Linked DNA regions of Arabidopsis thaliana. The protein of the gene in region 1 interacts with the protein of each later gene in a pairwise test. Each region holds a gene or a part of one and is shown in the gene's direction. Other genes may lie near its edges.

The links. The genes of interacting proteins can lie anywhere in the genome.
Region 2: the proteins of BBX32 (region 1) and BBX13 interact in binary tests that used the Arabidopsis thaliana proteins (3 or more experiments, as listed by UniProt).

The regions. Positions count from the first base shown.
Region 1 is NC_003074.8:7,411,928-7,415,652, reverse strand, and holds BBX32 (B-box 32), read left to right. Parts: upstream 1-1,925; 5' UTR 1,926-2,262; coding exon 2,263-2,940; 3' UTR 2,941-3,208; downstream 3,209-3,725. Other genes in the region: MNS2 (alpha-mannosidase 2), read left to right, coding at 1-10, 109-174, 369-477, 570-671, 807-887, 967-1,137, 1,273-1,524; AT3G21140 (Pyridoxamine 5'-phosphate oxidase family protein), read left to right, coding at 3,567-3,725.
Region 2 is NC_003070.9:9,774,987-9,779,936, reverse strand, and holds BBX13 (B-box type zinc finger protein with CCT domain-containing protein), read left to right. Parts: upstream 1-1,893; 5' UTR 1,894-2,279; coding exon 2,280-3,065; intron 3,066-3,256; coding exon 3,257-3,424; intron 3,425-3,708; coding exon 3,709-3,953; intron 3,954-4,066; coding exon 4,067-4,169; 3' UTR 4,170-4,415; downstream 4,416-4,950. Other genes in the region: AT1G28060 (Pre-mRNA-splicing factor 3), read right to left, coding at 1-180, 294-770.

The DNA.
Region 1 (3,725 bases):
TGGGAGACAGGTGTTTTTCCAACTTGATTGCATTTTATATTACTGCTAGTCTGATCCCTTCTGGTTCTGCTTTGGTTTGATTTGTGACGGCTAATATTTTGTGTACAGCTTTTACGAATATTTGCTCAAAGTTTGGGTGTTTGGGAACAAAACTTCAGCAGTGAAACACTATAGGTAAGTTTAACTCTAGTCTACTGAGTGTATATATGTCTGATTGATTCAAGTCCGCTAAGTTCAACCAGCTGCCATCACATTTATCTTTCTGCTTGATATCTATGTTCTTCTTTTCTTTTCTGGTCTTTTAGTTTCAACATCTTTAGCCGAACAATAATAATTTGTACTGTTATTACTTGACATCTTGGCATCAGAGATATGTGGGAGAAGTCAATGAATGGTCTGCTAAGCTTGGTTAAGAAATCAACACCTTTGTCGTTTACATATATCTGTGAGAAGAGTGGAAATTCTTTGATCGATAAGGTAAACCCATCTGTTCATTGTTTCCATTGTATTACGTGAAAATTCTTCATCGCCTGGCATTTCCAATCTCATTATTTCTCATATATATTAAGATGGATGAATTGGCATGCTTTGCTCCTGGAATGTTGGCTTTAGGAGCATCTGGGTATAGTGATCCTGCTGAAGGAAAGAAGTTTCTCACACTCGCTGAAGAGGTAAACTTATGACTTGAATGATCTTTGATCATAGCGTCGTAAGTGCTTCAGATCTTTCGAATTTTTCGCTCTCTGCTTTTCTGATTTAGGCTGCTGAGATATAGCCTTTATTGCTATTTTCCACATATTTTGCAGCTTGCGTGGACATGTTATAACTTTTACCAATCAACTCCAACAAAACTGGCTGGGGAGAATTATTTCTTCAACTCTGGGAGTGTATGTCATTTGCCTGTCTTTTTCAAACACATTGTTTATTTTATGCGTTATTTATTGTTTAGTATACATGATGATTCAGGACATGAGTGTTGGAACGTCGTGGAACATCTTGAGACCAGAAACTGTCGAATCACTGTTTTACCTCTGGCGGTTAACTGGAAACAAGACATATCAAGAGTGGGGATGGAATATATTTGAAGCATTTGAGAAGAACTCGCGCATAGAGTCTGGATATGTTGGTTTGAAGGATGTAAGTTTTCCGTAGGCGCTTAATTAGATCCTGCATTGTTAAAACCTTGGTGAATTGAATTATATCATTCCACCATCTATATTAGTAATTGAGTGTAACTGATGGTAGATTCTTATTTCTTTCAATCATTTCCAGGTTAATACAGGCGTTAAGGACAACAAGATGCAAAGTTTCTTCCTTGCAGAGACACTCAAGTATCTCTATCTACTCTTCTCGCCGACAACAGTCATTCCTTTAGACGAGTGGGTATTCAACACCGAAGCTCATCCACTTAAGATTAAGTCTCGAAACGATCAGGTAAATCTCAAACAATCCAACAAAGTACTGCTACGAAAACCGGCATTTAGAATACGCCAGAGGCATTATGGTCGGATAACAAAGAAGTAAAACTCCCTGGAGAGGTCACAGTGTGATTCGTAGGAGGGGCTCTATGGATATATCTTAACAGAGCAATTGGATTTAGCTTGGCTATTCAAAGACCCTTTTATTTAAGAAACCATTTTTGGAAAGATTTCAAGATATAGACTATTGTTGTACTAGTTGGGATCAGAACCCAAACAGGTTCACCACAGTTTACACCTTGTGTTTTGTATCCTTACTCCTTAGATTATAAATTAAGAGTATTATCTTCTGTTTTGTATTCGACAAAAGATCAATGTATAAAAGTTTATATAAAAGACTGCAACAATGCAGAAGAAATGTAATGGAAGCAACCAAGAAAAGAAGAAGAAGCAATTTGCAATGAGACCAAGTCTCTGAAAAGACATTAGTGTTGACTAAATCTCCACGTCACACCAAAAGGAAGACGAATGACTTGGCGGCTAGTGTAATAGTTTTAAAAATGACCACATAATCTCACCAGCCTCAAAACCTCACGACACGTCATTCTCTCCAATTCTACAAACACCATTCATTTCATTTCCCTAAAAAATTATGGCTCATGTAAGTTTCTTTGATGTGTGAACTGTGGAAGAGACTACTCTCATCAACCATGAACCATAAAAACTCCACCGCTCTTTCTCTCCCTCAATCATTTACATCTCTTCCTTAAATCTCTCTTCCCACCATCATCATTCCAAACCAATTCTCTCTCACTTCTTTCTGGTGATCAGAGAGATCGACTCAATGGTGAGCTTTTGCGAGCTTTGTGGTGCCGAAGCTGATCTCCATTGTGCCGCGGACTCTGCCTTCCTCTGCCGTTCTTGTGACGCTAAGTTCCATGCCTCAAATTTTCTCTTCGCTCGTCATTTCCGGCGTGTCATCTGCCCAAATTGCAAATCTCTTACTCAAAATTTCGTTTCTGGTCCTCTTCTTCCTTGGCCTCCACGAACAACATGTTGTTCAGAATCGTCGTCTTCTTCTTGCTGCTCGTCTCTTGACTGTGTCTCAAGCTCCGAGCTATCGTCAACGACGCGTGACGTAAACAGAGCGCGAGGGAGGGAAAACAGAGTGAATGCCAAGGCCGTTGCGGTTACGGTGGCGGATGGCATTTTTGTAAATTGGTGTGGTAAGTTAGGACTAAACAGGGATTTAACAAACGCTGTCGTTTCATATGCGTCTTTGGCTTTGGCTGTGGAGACGAGGCCAAGAGCGACGAAGAGAGTGTTCTTAGCGGCGGCGTTTTGGTTCGGCGTTAAGAACACGACGACGTGGCAGAATTTAAAGAAAGTAGAAGATGTGACTGGAGTTTCAGCTGGGATGATTCGAGCGGTTGAAAGCAAATTGGCGCGTGCAATGACGCAGCAGCTTAGACGGTGGCGCGTGGATTCGGAGGAAGGATGGGCTGAAAACGACAACGTTTGAGAAATATTATTGACATGGGTCCCGCATTATGCAAATTAGGACATTTAGTGTTTAGTGCCTTAATTATAGTTTGTGTCATTGATCTGTTTGATCTTTCTTTTCAACGTAAACTAAAAATGGTCTGAACCAATTGAGATGATAGATATTTCTTTAGAGGAGATTTAATTTTTTTAATCAACAGTAAGAAGATTTTAGAAACGGAATAATGGTAATCCAATAGTCATTATCAGGTTCTTTTGAGATGAAATTGAAATCTTTTCTTTCCCAATTTTTTTAAACAAAGATAATTTCTTAGAATATTATGTTATTATCAATAAAAATTGTAAATTGAAAAGAAACTGATTTTCTTATTTCAAGGAAAATTCGTTATTATCAACATCAAAACAAAACAAAAGAGAATAGAAAATACATCAAAAGTAATTCCTAAGGACAAAAGTAATCGTAATCCAACTATAAAAAAAAAGCCAAAAGAAAAAGAAAAACCCTTATATGTATGTGTGTGTTATACAAACCCTACTCTGGAAAAGTCCTAATTCCTAAAGCTACTTTCAACAAAGACGCCTGAAGCATCTGCCTATAGTGAAAGATCAGAAGACTCTTCAACCAAAATCTTATTCTCATCCACCATGGAAGCTCTCTTCACTTCAACACACACACCCAATTTACAGACTAAGCCTCTCCTCAAATCTCCGCTGCCCACTTCTTCCCAGTCTTCGTGTTGGTTTTGTAATTCGCTACCCAAAACGCAATTCCCGAAGCTGAGACTCAGTAATGGATCAAGTCAC
Region 2 (4,950 bases), on another chromosome or scaffold:
ACTTTTCCCAGCTGTGGACAATGGTCTTCCATCTGTACTAGATTTTCCAGGAACCTCATGAGATCTGACAACACTAGCCTTATTTTCATCCGTTGTAGATATCGAAGATACCTTAGTGAGCAGTGTTTGACTAGGGGCAGCAGAAGCTTCCGATGGAATAGAACTATATGTAGAGGCTCCCTGCACAAAAAAAGAAAATGCAAGCATTAGCTAGCGAAGAAGACTAGAGGTAATCATGAACAAATCGCAAGTAGCAAACAAAGAAGATTAACGAAAAGGTATAAAGAACTCACCATCGTAACGCCACTGGTTGGATTCGTAGCCCCAGAACCCTCAGAGACTTGAGCATCTTTGTTCTCAACTTCAATAGCCACATCCTCAAACCTGCTCCTCCTCTCACCATTCCCATCAGCAAACCTAGATTTCTTCTTCCCATCCCTAGCCCCATTCTCTTCCTCTCTATCTTTCCTCTTGCTCCTCGATTCCTTCTCTTTACTACCTTCGTGAGACCTCTCATGGTGATGCTTTTCCCTATCTCTACTCCCTTCTCTCTCGCCTCGCTCTACAGATCTCCCTCTTCTATCCTTGGTCCTATCTCTCTCATCTTCCCTATCGCCGCGCCTCGATGAACGGTAGTGATCTGAATCACGACGCTTCGAATCAACATCGCGGTCACGGCGGCGTCCTCCTTCACGTTGTGGAGAATGGTCGGGACTCGAATCTCGATCACGATCGTCACGGTGGCTCCTGGAATATCTCTCCTTATCCATGGCAGAATTTAGGGTTTATTCCTAACAACAATTTGCTTCTGATTCGCCGGTCCTATAAATATACGAAAATTCACAACCGGAATAAACCAGCGATTCAGATTAGAACCAAAACGACCAGCGAAACCAAGTTCTGAATCAGATTTTTGTTCCTTCCGGAAAAATCCTAAAGGGAGCGAAACGATACCGGATCCGGAAGATATATAATCCAATCACCGGACTACAAGCTTCCCTTATGGGCTGAAGCCCATTTTTGAGTTCCTTCTTGAGATAGTTCTTCAATTTTGAGTCTAATGGGCTTTTATATCATCTTTTACTTAAAAAAAAAAAAATCGACGATTCATCTTCTATAGAGATATATGAAAATTCAAGCTATTTATCTTTAAAAAGAAAAATATTTGATGTCAGGTCGCAGTTTTCTTACAAGCAGAAATCCAAACTCTTCATACCAACTATTTTTGGAATAAACAAGATTTCTTTGCCAAGAGTTTTCATACCAACTATTTTTTGGATAAATAAGATTTCTTTGCCAAGAGATTTCCACAAGTTGACCACAAATTAAACATTCGATCAAAACTCAAGAATTCAAATATAGAAGTATATAACGCATATATTCCGCTTTGACTCAAAAAAGAAAAAACCCGCTCATATACTGTATTATGTATAGTCTGAATCACAAACTCTCTAACACGTGAAATTTAATGCGTTAGTCAAGAATCGTTCCGATTGTTACCACTCCCCAGGAACTTTTTCAAGATATTTATACCTCAGAATGATAGCACTTTACAAATAAGTTATACTTTTTTTCAAAACAAAAAAAAACAACTTATTGAAGTCTATGGACAAAAAGAAAATATCTAACATGAATCCTAAAATATCTTTACGATTTTAATTTTATCACATCTTTTGTCAAGAACTCGTGTGTAGCAGTTTATTATGCACATAAATATATGCTATACATTACGCTGCAATGTTCGTAAATACTAGTTCCAGAAAAAGACGATTCCAGCCGTTATTACACTGATCAAAAAGTTATTGCTATATACGGAAAGAATTAATCCCATAAAAATCATGTGCTTTGAACTAACTTTCCCTTTATACGTTAAAATAGATATTTAGGTGAAAAAGCAGATTAGATATTTTCTCTTAGATTCTCTGTCACAGTCAACGTAAGCTTCGCCGTCTGAACAATGGCGACTCTCTCAGCACGCTTTTACACCGTCAGATCTCAACATATCTCAATCTGAACAATCCATCATACACAAGTTCCATACATCGCAACACAGAAAAACAAATCCCTAACCCCAAACTGTTTACAATAATTAGCTTCGTTGTCTTCTTCATTCCAAAAGATTTGCAGATAATTTTGACAAAGCCCCCCAAAAAAAAAAAGAGTTCAAAATGAAAAACGTGAGAAATGGATTTGTCATCATTCTTCTCACCGTCCTTAGTCTCTGAAAATAAATTCTGATTTTGATTTCGAATTTTAGGGATTTTGAGAGAGAGTCAGTTATGAGTAGTTCGGAGAGAGTACCGTGCGATTTCTGCGGCGAGCGTACGGCGGTTTTGTTTTGTAGAGCCGATACGGCGAAGCTGTGTTTGCCTTGTGATCAGCAAGTTCACACGGCGAATCTGTTGTCGAGGAAGCACGTGCGATCTCAGATCTGCGATAATTGCGGTAACGAGCCAGTCTCTGTTCGGTGTTTCACCGATAATCTGATTTTGTGTCAGGAGTGTGATTGGGATGTTCACGGAAGTTGTTCAGTTTCCGATGCTCATGTTCGATCCGCCGTGGAAGGTTTTTCCGGTTGTCCATCGGCGTTGGAGCTTGCTGCTTTATGGGGACTTGATTTGGAGCAAGGGAGGAAAGATGAAGAGAATCAAGTTCCGATGATGGCGATGATGATGGATAATTTCGGGATGCAGTTGGATTCTTGGGTTTTGGGATCTAATGAATTGATTGTTCCCAGCGATACGACGTTTAAGAAGCGTGGATCTTGTGGATCTAGTTGTGGGAGGTATAAGCAGGTATTGTGTAAGCAGCTTGAGGAGTTGCTTAAGAGTGGTGTTGTCGGTGGTGATGGCGATGATGGTGATCGTGACCGTGATTGTGACCGTGAGGGTGCTTGTGATGGAGATGGAGATGGAGAAGCAGGAGAGGGGCTTATGGTTCCGGAGATGTCAGAGAGATTGAAATGGTCAAGAGATGTTGAGGAGATCAATGGTGGCGGAGGAGGAGGAGTTAACCAGCAGTGGAATGCTACTACTACTAATCCTAGTGGTGGCCAGAGTTCTCAGGTTTTGCTTATCTCTCTTTTGATTTTTTTGGCTAAGAACAGTTTAGTTTTTTCTGTTAATGAGCAAGTGAGATTAAGTGGTGAAATGTTTTTGTGTAAGGTCAAATATAGTCACTCTGTGTGGTTTTATGGTTTCTCAAGAAGATAAAAAAATGAAAGGTTTCTTAACCTGTGTTGTGAACTTGTATACAGATATGGGATTTTAACTTGGGACAGTCACGGGGACCTGAGGATACGAGTCGAGTGGAAGCTGCATATGTAGGGAAAGGTGCTGCTTCTTCATTCACAATCAACAATTTTGTTGACCATATGAATGAAACTTGTTCCACTAATGTGAAAGGTGTCAAAGAGATTAAAAAGGTAATAGTTCTCATTAACCTTAGTCATTTAAGTAGAGTAGTGTTTAAAACACAATACGTTGTCATCTCCCGTTCATCCTCAAAAATTGTTGTAGACAGTTGCTTCTTTTAGTGAATGATAGAATTCAGAACATGAAACCTAGTCAGAAAAAAGTTACAAGCTGGTTTGCTTTTCTTTGTTTTACCTCATCACCAAGCCACCAATTCTAACATTTTGGCTTATGATATATATTTGCTAGACTGCTATGCAACTTAACTGTGATGCTGATTAGGATTCTTTTGCAGGATGACTACAAGCGATCAACTTCAGGCCAGGTACAACCAACAAAATCTGAGAGCAACAATCGTCCAATTACCTTTGGCTCTGAGAAAGGTTCGAACTCCTCCAGTGACTTGCATTTCACAGAGCATATTGCTGGAACTAGTTGTAAGACCACAAGACTAGTTGCAACTAAGGCTGATCTGGAGCGGCTGGCTCAGAACAGAGGAGATGCAATGCAGCGTTACAAGGAAAAGAGGAAGACACGGAGGTAAATGCTGCTTTTTTCTTTCCCCTTTAATAATTTTTTATTGCCCATCTCCCTTAAAGAATCTGATACCATATTTCGTTTCTCCCTTTGTCTTGGATCTCGGGTGCCAACAGATATGATAAGACCATAAGGTATGAATCGAGGAAGGCAAGAGCTGACACTAGGTTGCGTGTCAGAGGCAGATTTGTGAAAGCTAGTGAAGCTCCTTACCCTTAACCTTAAGTCTCTTCACATAGGCTTCCTTTTAGCTACAAACTTAGTTACTTTTTTTACTTCCACTGCCTCATAAATGTACAGACCGGTCTCGTTTCATCTGGCCGCCCTTCTGTTTTATTGCCTTATCTGGCCCTTTTATGTACCTTGGAATCTTATCTAGTTTAAAAAAGATTGTAACCTTCTAGAAAACCATATTCTGTTGACAGTATATACATGTCTATCCAAGCATTTTGAAGTCTCACAAGCTAATACGCCTTGATACTCTTTGTTTTAAAAACCCTGACTTATGGCTGTTAATCAAAGTTTTCCAAGTCCAGTTCGCAGATGGCGAGCGGATCTGCGGCTGTGGTTCTTCGTTGCTGTTTCTTTGGTGGTTCTGGCTGTGTTGGCCAATTCAGAAGGTATAAATCTCCCTACTTAAAGAGTTACTCACAGGCGAAATTCCACAATCAGTTTATTCTAGTGTATAATACATGTAGTGGATGTTGTATAATGTTTATGCTTGAATGTCATATAGCTCTGCAGACGTGGGATCCGATGCAGGTGACAATTCTTCTTAAAAGACAACTAATTCTCTGACTTTCCTCTTAGTGACTATAAGAATAGACCAATTCTCTATTAAATTTTTCGTTTAACAATTCCCTCAATCAAGAATTCTCTTCTCTGTATTTCTCCTCTCCATCTTTATCTTACCTCTCCGAAACGCCTTGAACCCTCAAAAATGTCCTTCATCCTACTCGGATTCATATCTTAATAAATGTGAACCACTTGGAATCCCCAT